Linked DNA regions of Arabidopsis thaliana. The protein of the gene in region 2 interacts with the protein of the main gene of each other region in a pairwise test. Each region holds a gene or a part of one and is shown on either strand. Other genes may lie near its edges. The genes, in order: AT1G68160 and MEE3.

Region 1 (5,541 bases), on a different chromosome or scaffold from region 2:
ATTTACTGATAACGTAGTATTTTATAGATCTTCCAACTCAAAACGAATTGGTAATGAGTTGATTCGTCTATGTACTTTATATATTACTTTATGTCCAATGTAGAATTCATAGCATGTCATAACCACATTTGAATGGAATGAAACTATGTATATATATATAGTTGATAATGAGATTTGTTACATTGTGAAGGTGCAAAGGTGTTTAGAAGACATGTCAATACTGATAACAACCTACGAAGGAACACATAACCATCCACTTCCGGTCGGAGCAACAGCCATGGCTTCCACTGCCTCTACTTCTCCATTCTTGTTACTCGATTCCAGTGACAACCTCTCTCATCCTTCCTATTACCAAACTCCTCAAGCCATAGACTCTTCTTTGATTACATACCCACAAAATAGCAGCTACAACAATCGAACCATAAGAAGCTTGAACTTTGATGGTCCATCTAGAGGAGATCACGTTTCATCTTCTCAAAACCGATTAAATTGGATGATGTAGAGTTTCCTATATCTCTATGCTTGTTCTTTGGTCCCATTATTTGTCATTATGGATTCTTTGCCTTTCTTCTTGTTCTCGTTTCTAACATTTATGTTTCGTATATACAACATCGAAGGTTTCGGATTGTTTTATTTCGTTCAATGTTGGCTTATGAAAAATAAAGATTGATTAATGCTAAGAAAAAATGGGTACCAAAACAACACACCAAAAGATCAAAAGATTAAAGATGCAAATCTCAACACGCTCTTCAATAGAATCTTTTTTTATACACATCGATCGCTTAGAAATTCTCCAAGACACTAATTGAACTAAGTTTATCTAATAGAACTTGTTAAGAAGGTTTTTTAGTTAGGAGCCAGGACCAAGAACCCCTACATTCGTTATATTATGTCTTGTTTCAACATCCCGCGCAGCAATAAAGATCGTTGGTGTTACGAAAGAATCACATTTCTACAAACTTCCCAACATTTGATGAGCTTTTTTTTACCTCCTCCAGCTTCTTTAGGATAATTTACAGGTAACTAAGGGAAACCAGATGATTTCCTAAGACTTCTACTTCCTATGGAAGCCGCCACTTTGCATCGTATTGAATGGCATCATCACCTGGTACAAATCGAGGAAACCAAAGTCATTGATATTGGGAAGCTATTATTCTTCTGCTCTATTTGCTCTTGATAGACATTTCTACAAACCAAAACATTGAAAAACTGGTCTTAAGATACTCAGCTAGTTAGAAGCACAATAATTCTATATTTTGAGCACTTGAACCAGAGATATGGGGTTTGAACTACGGTAGTGTCTGAGGTAAAACAAGCAAATGGGTGATGTGGACATTTTGATATCTAAAACAATGGACTGTTAATGCAAAAGTGAGCAGCCTATTAACTTACTAAAGTAGTATTACTCACCGAGAGATCATCATTGATTGTGACTGGCAATGGTGGCATCTTGTTCATCAATCCAGGCATATTATTTATCCTGCCAAATCAAGACAACGTCTGGTCACTAAGCTCCACAAAACTTATACACAAAATGTTTAAAGTATCAACTTACTCATTTTGGATGGTGATAAGGTTGTTCCTTGCCTGACGAAAGAGATCTAGGTTATCCCCTGCCTGTTTGCAATTATCATTACGGAGCGGTTTTAGCAAGAACACATTTGCATTCCTTTAAACAAGGTAATCTAGAACTTACCTTATATGAGGAGAGATTAGCTCTAATTTGACTAAAAGCTCGTACATTCTGTTCTATAAGATTTGTTGCATAGCTACTTAAATCTGAAACAGAACCACGAAAGAATCAGTAAGAAAAGAAAAGAGACTAAAGATTATTGTGACTTCAACAAAACTTCATATGAAAGAGAGCTTAAAGGATCATCTTTACAAGGTAATAGGATCAGAGAGCGGACTTAAATAGAATTTCACCATTTAAACATACAATAGTCATTATACTCCTTTACTAGATGTATGAAATAAATAATCTCAAGAATGCACCTCTAGAGAAGGACAATGCAGTTAAGAAACCAATTTCAGTATCTATGGGTAAAGGCTTCTTCCAAGACTAAACTACTTTAGAGACGTAGTTATGTTAGCATCGTCCCAAGAAGCTAAAAGTCTAGCTGAAATACACTAATCCCCTATGAACTTATTTATATAACAAAATACATACTTAAACGACATTTGCACCATAATACATACATCAAAACGTATTGCCTCCTTTTGAAAACAAAATATGATGTTAATGTGTGCATGTCAATGAAAAAAAAGACCTGGAGTTAGCAAATTCAGGTGGAAATCTCTCAGATAAAGATAGATGTTAACCTTCAGACGTAATTTGTTTACTGGTGCTTGTAGATGGCCCTGAGAAAGGATATGAAGCCATGTTATGAGGCAAAACAGAGGGAATGCTTGACTTAGACGACGATTCCACCTGCTTGCCCTGAAGAAATATAAATCTTTTAGTACAAAAACCTAAATTAATCAAAAGATATTCAATCTCAATCCTAGCATCATCTTTCAATCGAACTTACAAAAAAGTCACTCATCAAAATTGAACAAATGGCAAGAATTTCCAATATACCTTGCTAGAACTTGCTCTTCTTCCACAGTTTAATTCTTCTGATTTTCTTCTCTTTCTCTATGCAAAACAAAGTCAGTACATCAACAGACGAAGACAAAAGGTAAAAGTAAGAAATGATTCAGTATATAAGAGAAGAGAAGATTTTGTTCAAAACTCAAAGACTGTTATGCTCACTATTCTCATCTCAAGAACTCAATATTGATACAACTCAGGCATCAATAAGACCAAAAAGTCCATCCTAAGGCAAAACCATTTCATTCTGTGTACTGTAGTTTAAGAAGCTATGTATGAAATCAGAACATGTAGAAACTGTTCCCTGTGTATCATTTTTCTTTGCTATACATATATCATTCATGGCATAAGCGTAGAACTACATGACTGAAAAATGGTCACAAGAAAGCTACAAAAACCGTCAGAACAAGGCAGATATGTGAAGAGAGATACTTACCCTCAGCCACCTACACCGCAAAGCAATATCTCGAATACTTTTATCAGGTAAAGTGTTTCCAATTTGAATATACATATCAATACTTGGCATATCCTTATATCTACAAAAAACACAGAATCAGATCATATCAAATTCCACAGAACAAAAAACTATCTTCATATCCTCATTAATGTTAAGAAATCACAAAACAAGAAAGACTCACTTTTCAAGACCAGCATCCAATATGTATTGTTCTTCATTTGACCATTCACTAACCATGGAAGTATCAAGCTTTAGACCAGAACCCGAATCGGAACCATTCGAAGAATTCCCGGTTTGAAGAAAACCAGGAGAACCAACATTGATCATATTCATATTCATCCCCAAGTACGGACTCATTGGAGTCATCTCCGAAGAAGTGTTAGATTGGAAATTAATAGCGTGACGACTCATCATAGAACTCAAAGAATCGAACCCAGAATTTGATTGAGTAGCCATCCACATAATCGAACACAAACCCAAATAAAAAGATTAAAACTTTAACAATTAGAAATCAAACCCAAAACTCTCCTTTGATCAGATATGAAAAAAGGATCAAACTTTGAGAAGGTGAATCATCTTACGCCATGGATAAAGCTTGGAACTTTATAAACCCTAAGTTAAGTTCTCACAAAGAAACCAAAATTTGATTTTGTTTACCAAATCACAATTTTTTTTTTCTTTTTTTTTTTTTCTCTTGTCCTCTGTATATTAGACAGAGCAGCCTTGTAAGCTATAAGCCAATGAAGGATTTTTAGACAAATAATGAAAAAATTATTAATACATTACTTTATGACTTTTCACCATATTGATGATAAACTTAATTGAAATCTAATATTAATTATTTTCCAACACAATTAGTTGAAATGGAAAAAAATGGATTTTGACTATAAAAGTAAGTAGGAATGGGGAATTTTAGAAAAGATTCTCTTCCTAAATTGAAGGGAGAGATATGACTAAGAACATATTCATTTTTTTTTTTTTACTACCAAAATTAGTAGAAAAAAATAAGAAAATAGGTAAATAAATAAAAGAGATGGTTGGCAGATCGTGGAATTTAGTAAATAGTGCGAATCCCAATAATAAAGCATTTGATGCCTTTCTTTCTTCTACCTCACTTTTTTTATTCCAAAAAGTTTTATCAAGTAGACAAGATTTTTTTTTTTTTTTTTTGTTTTCTAATAATGTCAATGTGTGACATCCTCGTTGTCAAAATCTCAAGATATATGAATTTGATTCATATTTTTTCTTTATGTTAATACAAAAATTAATCTTAGCATCTCAATAATTGTGGGATAAACTGATCCGTTCGTACAATACTTTTACAATTATATGCGACTATGAAAATAATTGGACTCATAGTTATGAACCAATAACAGAAGCAAGCATATAAAAATCGATGAAGAGTTTTTTTTTTTTTTTTTGATATTTAAGAAATTATTGATACACTAAATAGATCAAGAAATATATTCATACACCAAAATGATGTTTTGATTTCTGTTTTTTTTTGTCAACATTTATAAGGAGCGAGACTCGATCCTCGATGTCATGTTCTCAGTGGACTTATCATTTGCAACAAGACTACTATCACTTAACAATTTTGATTTCTGTTTACTATCTAAATGCCATCAGCTTTTATAATTTTCATTTTTTTTCACTAGATAAGTTAGGTTTTTTAAAATTTGTTATTAACTCACACTTCAAATCTTATCAAGATTTTACTAAGGTAAAATTGATGTACCGTCGTTTCTTTGTCGTTGCAATTTTCCTCGATTGATGTATGCTCTATTAGTCCAAATTCAATTTTCATTATCCCCAACCCGTATAAGTGAATTAACATAAGCTTCTGGTAAAAAATGCTTATCAAATGAAACATGTTAAAAGTCATGGACACTTAAACATATTATCAGGCCTGACGTTTATATTGGGCCACATGCTATATTTGTAAAAGACTAATTTTATACGCATTTAAGATTTTGCTTAAGAAACGAATAAATTTGGGCTCTAAAATGCTATGAGCCCAATAAACTGCACATTATACTTGCTCCACTAACAGTAATACAGTTTCCTTTTTTTTGGTAGGCTAATCTGAACAGTTTCCTAATAATGCAAATCAATATAATTAATTAAAGATTTGTTTCATTCAAGTTAATTTAACTCCGAACATTATGTTATGAAGAAGAGAAAGACTTTGTTGTTGGACTTGATGCACTCTTTCGCTCATTAAGGTGATCCATACATTTTAATTTCAAAATTGTTGGCAGGAACTAGATTTTGGTTTTACTGATTTACAATGTTATTAACTACAAAAAAAACAAAAAACAAAACAAATAAGTTATCATATCTATCAAGTCTCAACTATTAACTTGTGGCCTTAGCATCTCCAAATTTCTACATTATCCCTGCTTTTGGTTTCTTTAAGACTTTAATCCCAACCTTAATTCACAGTTTTTTTCTCATATATATAGTCCTCATCATGTAAGTAAGTCCTAGC
Region 2 (3,850 bases):
CTCCGGGTAAATTCTCAGCAATGATCACTCAAGACCTGGAGATATCAGAATAAAACCCTCAAGCGTTTACTGATGCAACTATTCATAGTGAGAAAGTAAAAATAACCATCTTGCTCAACAACAAAATAATCGACCTTATGAACTCAAGATTATCGTTTTCACAGCTAAAGAATTTACCTAAACTTATGACTTAAATGTGGGGAAAGTGTTCCTTTTTTACCATTTCAATACCTAGGCAAAGAAGGTCGCTGTGAAGCATCGTGACGATGAGAATATCAGTAGTGCCCCAATGCCTACTAGCAGAATTTCTTGGCAACTTGCAATCTATTATCTCTCTGGAATATATTGTGCCCCAAGGCCTCATTATTGTTAAGATTCTTTCTCTGTTTAAAGTTTTCCTTCTCGATAAGAAGTTTCGCCGCCCCTACCCTGAAACCAAACCATGACATCTTAGAAACAGAACCATCCATTATCATAACTAGAATAAAAATATCTTAATAATATAAGTGCTTATATTGGCATATATCCAGAAAGAGAGCAAATTAAAGTATCATAAGACCTATACACGTAAAGGAATATCATCTTACTTAGCAAAACTAATAACATTTAGTGAAATGGATAAACACTATTATCAAGAAAGATCCGAGAAGTATGGTTCTTAAATAGCTTTACTTTAAAAAGTGTGTAGACAATAACTTTATATAGTCTTGTGGTCTTTTGATAACAAACCTGATTCAATAGTGATAAGATATGAGTATGGTCCTCCATCTCCCATGGGACTTTGAATCACCTGTGTTTCCGAGAGAGGGAAAATCTTGAGACTTTAAATCAAAATGTCAACTTTATTATGAACTAAAAATCAAACAACAAGTGGATCATTAATGAACAACCTTTGTTGCATGAAAAGAAAATCTTCAAATCTTTTAAAGAATGAAACAAAATGCTCACTTTCTGAGATAAAACCAAACAACAAGTGGACCATTTATGCATGTTGTCTTTTTGCCAAGTATGTATATTATTAGTCCTATTGTGCATTATTTAGCAACCTAATTTAGTTATATGACAATAATCTATTTGCCCATCCCAACCCTGGATTCTTACCAAACAAGGTAATTAAAGTGTTCATGTGAAACATTAATGTTTGTATTTTGTAATACGACAACTTTTGGTTCCCGCCCATATTCAATAATGCAGACACTAAAGAACAGAAGAAACAATTTGAATATCCACCAAGAAAAGTGATTATTTAACAAATTAACAACCAAGAATCTACATTAGACAATATATGACCAAGAAAAACACAGTTGCCTAACTTCAAGGAGATGGACCCAACAAGCCAAGGAAAAAAAAAGGTAGGTAAACAATGTTGACGTTTATTTTTTTCAACAACAAGAAAACACAGAAAAATGTCGATGATTGTACGGAAAGATCATCAATACAGCTAGATAAATTGATATGGTTTTCATGGCAGAGAATCTCAAGGTAAAGCTCTGCCCCCACTTTTCTTTAAGAATTCTTCTTATACAAGAGAATATATGACTTATGGTGAACACACGAAAAGCTCCAACTTTGTGTTTGTGGATACAAATTAATCCTCACAATGTTTCAAAATCACTGAGATTTTTGATAAGAAGGAAATCTGATTAGTCAATGAAAATCATCTGTCAATAGAGACTTGTCCCTAACTTTCAACCAAAGACTTGTAATTTTCCGCGAGCACGTGAGCTTTGTGCTCTGATTAGAGACCAGACTGTTCCATGAATTAAGTACCATAGGTAGAGAGATTTTCCTAACTATTTATTACCTAAACTGTTTCTTTTTGACAAGAAGCTTAATCTAGAGAATGACGTCATAACCACTAATTGGGAAAGAAAAGTAAACATATTAGTTATAACATTTATAGAAAAGTGTGTCTAGGGAGCATCATATGCCAAATATGGATGGAAAAACGCAATCTTTGGTTGATTAGTTTGGATCTTTGATACTGATCTCCACAAAAAAATTTGCTCATATTCTTTTCTAGCTATAGAGACAAAGACTTAAAATTCTCTTTGTTTTGGCAAAGATATCTTTTAACAACTGGCCCTACCCCACACCAAAACCTCTTTATAAAGAGCAAGGACTCTGCGACATCTGTGCAACATATCATTTCCTCAGAATCTCTTTCTTTTCTAGGTTTATTACTACACAAAACCAAACATCATCAACTTTAGTTACTAAACAATGGCATCAGGCTCAATGTCTTCTTATGGCTCTGGCTCATGGACTGTTAAGCAGAACAAAGCCTTTGAGCGTGCTCTAGCAGTCTATGACCAAGACACTCCGGACCGTTGGCACAATGTTGCTAGAGCTGTTGGTGGTAAAACACCAGAAGAAGCTAAGAGACAGTATGACCTTCTAGTTCGTGACATCGAAAGCATCGAGAATGGTCACGTGCCATTCCCTGACTACAAGACTACTACAGGAAACAGCAACAGAGGCAGGCTGCGTGATGAGGAAAAGAGGTATATTTGTTGCAATCTAATAAGACACAATTTATGCTAATAACAAGTAATCAACTTTGTTTATCCATAATAGCCCACTATAAGATACTTCTATAGACAAGTTCTATTCCAATACCATGACAAGAAAACATAAAGGGCATGTCTGTTTCAGCATAAAGCTTGTTACTTTACAGAGATTCTCTTGACTTTCTATCATATTGAGTTATAAGAGGCTCTAAATCAGCCAAGTGTTCTCTTCTCAGTGTTCTTCAGGCTTTATCAGAACCAAAACTAAAAGCTCCCACAACAAAAAATATGCCTAGAAATAGAATCATTCCTTGTCAATATGGTATCTAATATTAATCGATTCCCAAATCTTTCCCCTAAGAAACTTCCAGAAACAAAAATAAACCCACTCATCATCATGAAACTCGAACCAACAACATTTTAACCTGTTTAACATTTTTTTTTTTTATTGCAGGATGAGAAGCATGAAGCTGCAGTGAGACAAGAAGCAACAAAACCTAACTACGTATGATCGTCAAAATAAAAGAGAATCACTTCAGAGAGATGTGTTTTTTTCAATGTCTGACGAATCAATGTTTTTTTCTTGCAATTTCTCATGTTTTTCCCTAAGAAATGGTTTTTTTTTCGAGGCAACAAAAAAAAAATAACACTCGAATTTGTTAACCAAAATCTGTATTTAGGGTTCTTCGTAATGAAAAATCCAATGTCTAAATGTTAATTATATATTACAATTATGCTTAAAACGAGTAATTCGTTCACGGACCTTGAAATCAACGAATCAATCTCTCAACCAATCTGAATCAATGTTGCTTCAAAATGGAAAAATCCAAATTCATAAATCAATTAAATATTGATCTTAACTATATATTGGAGCATCCAATAATGCAAAGTATGCGAATCGGACAAGAAGAAGTCTCGAAATCAACGAATCAATTAACCAATCTCTATTTTTAGGGTTCTTCGAAATTGGGGAATTGTTTCAATATTTAAACTCAAGTGTTGATAATTGGTGAATCACTGTTTATGGAGAATCTAACAATGTCACGGGACGAGAAGAACTCACCTCGAAAAATCTGCAATTTCTGATCGCAATCTTCAAATTCCAGCGAAATCGATGAGAGTTTCAATTTGGGAATTTCATAGATAAACCCCAAATTTCAATTTTTTTTATTTTCTGGGTAGATAATTAAAATTGGGCGGGAAATCTGATGCTTCCAAAAATAGGTCACGTGCAATTAACTAATTATACACACATATACCGTGCGGATACGAATTTGTGTCCTTCTTACAGTATACGAATACATGTATATGTCTCTCACCGTATTCTTCTTTTTTTTTTT

What was found.
Region 1: the proteins of MEE3 (region 2) and AT1G68160 interact in a two-hybrid assay, tested with the Arabidopsis thaliana proteins (one study listed by BioGRID).

What each region holds. Positions count from the first base shown.
Region 1 is NC_003070.9:25,545,114-25,550,654, forward strand, and holds AT1G68160 (ZZ-type zinc finger protein, putative (DUF3755)), read right to left. Parts: upstream 3,782-5,541; 5' UTR 3,513-3,781; coding exon 3,232-3,512; intron 3,130-3,231; coding exon 3,030-3,129; intron 2,639-3,029; coding exon 2,582-2,638; intron 2,441-2,581; coding exon 2,323-2,440; intron 1,780-2,322; coding exon 1,697-1,779; intron 1,618-1,696; coding exon 1,556-1,617; intron 1,481-1,555; coding exon 1,411-1,480; intron 1,106-1,410; coding exon 1,055-1,105; 3' UTR 645-1,054; downstream 1-644. Other genes in the region: WRKY9 (WRKY DNA-binding protein 9), read left to right, coding at 191-502.
Region 2 is NC_003071.7:9,257,431-9,261,280, forward strand, and holds MEE3 (Homeodomain-like superfamily protein), read left to right. Parts: upstream 1-2,080; 5' UTR 2,081-2,223; coding exon 2,224-2,504; intron 2,505-2,964; coding exon 2,965-2,989; 3' UTR 2,990-3,267; downstream 3,268-3,850. UniProt on the Arabidopsis thaliana protein: Probable transcription factor. Required for female gametophyte development.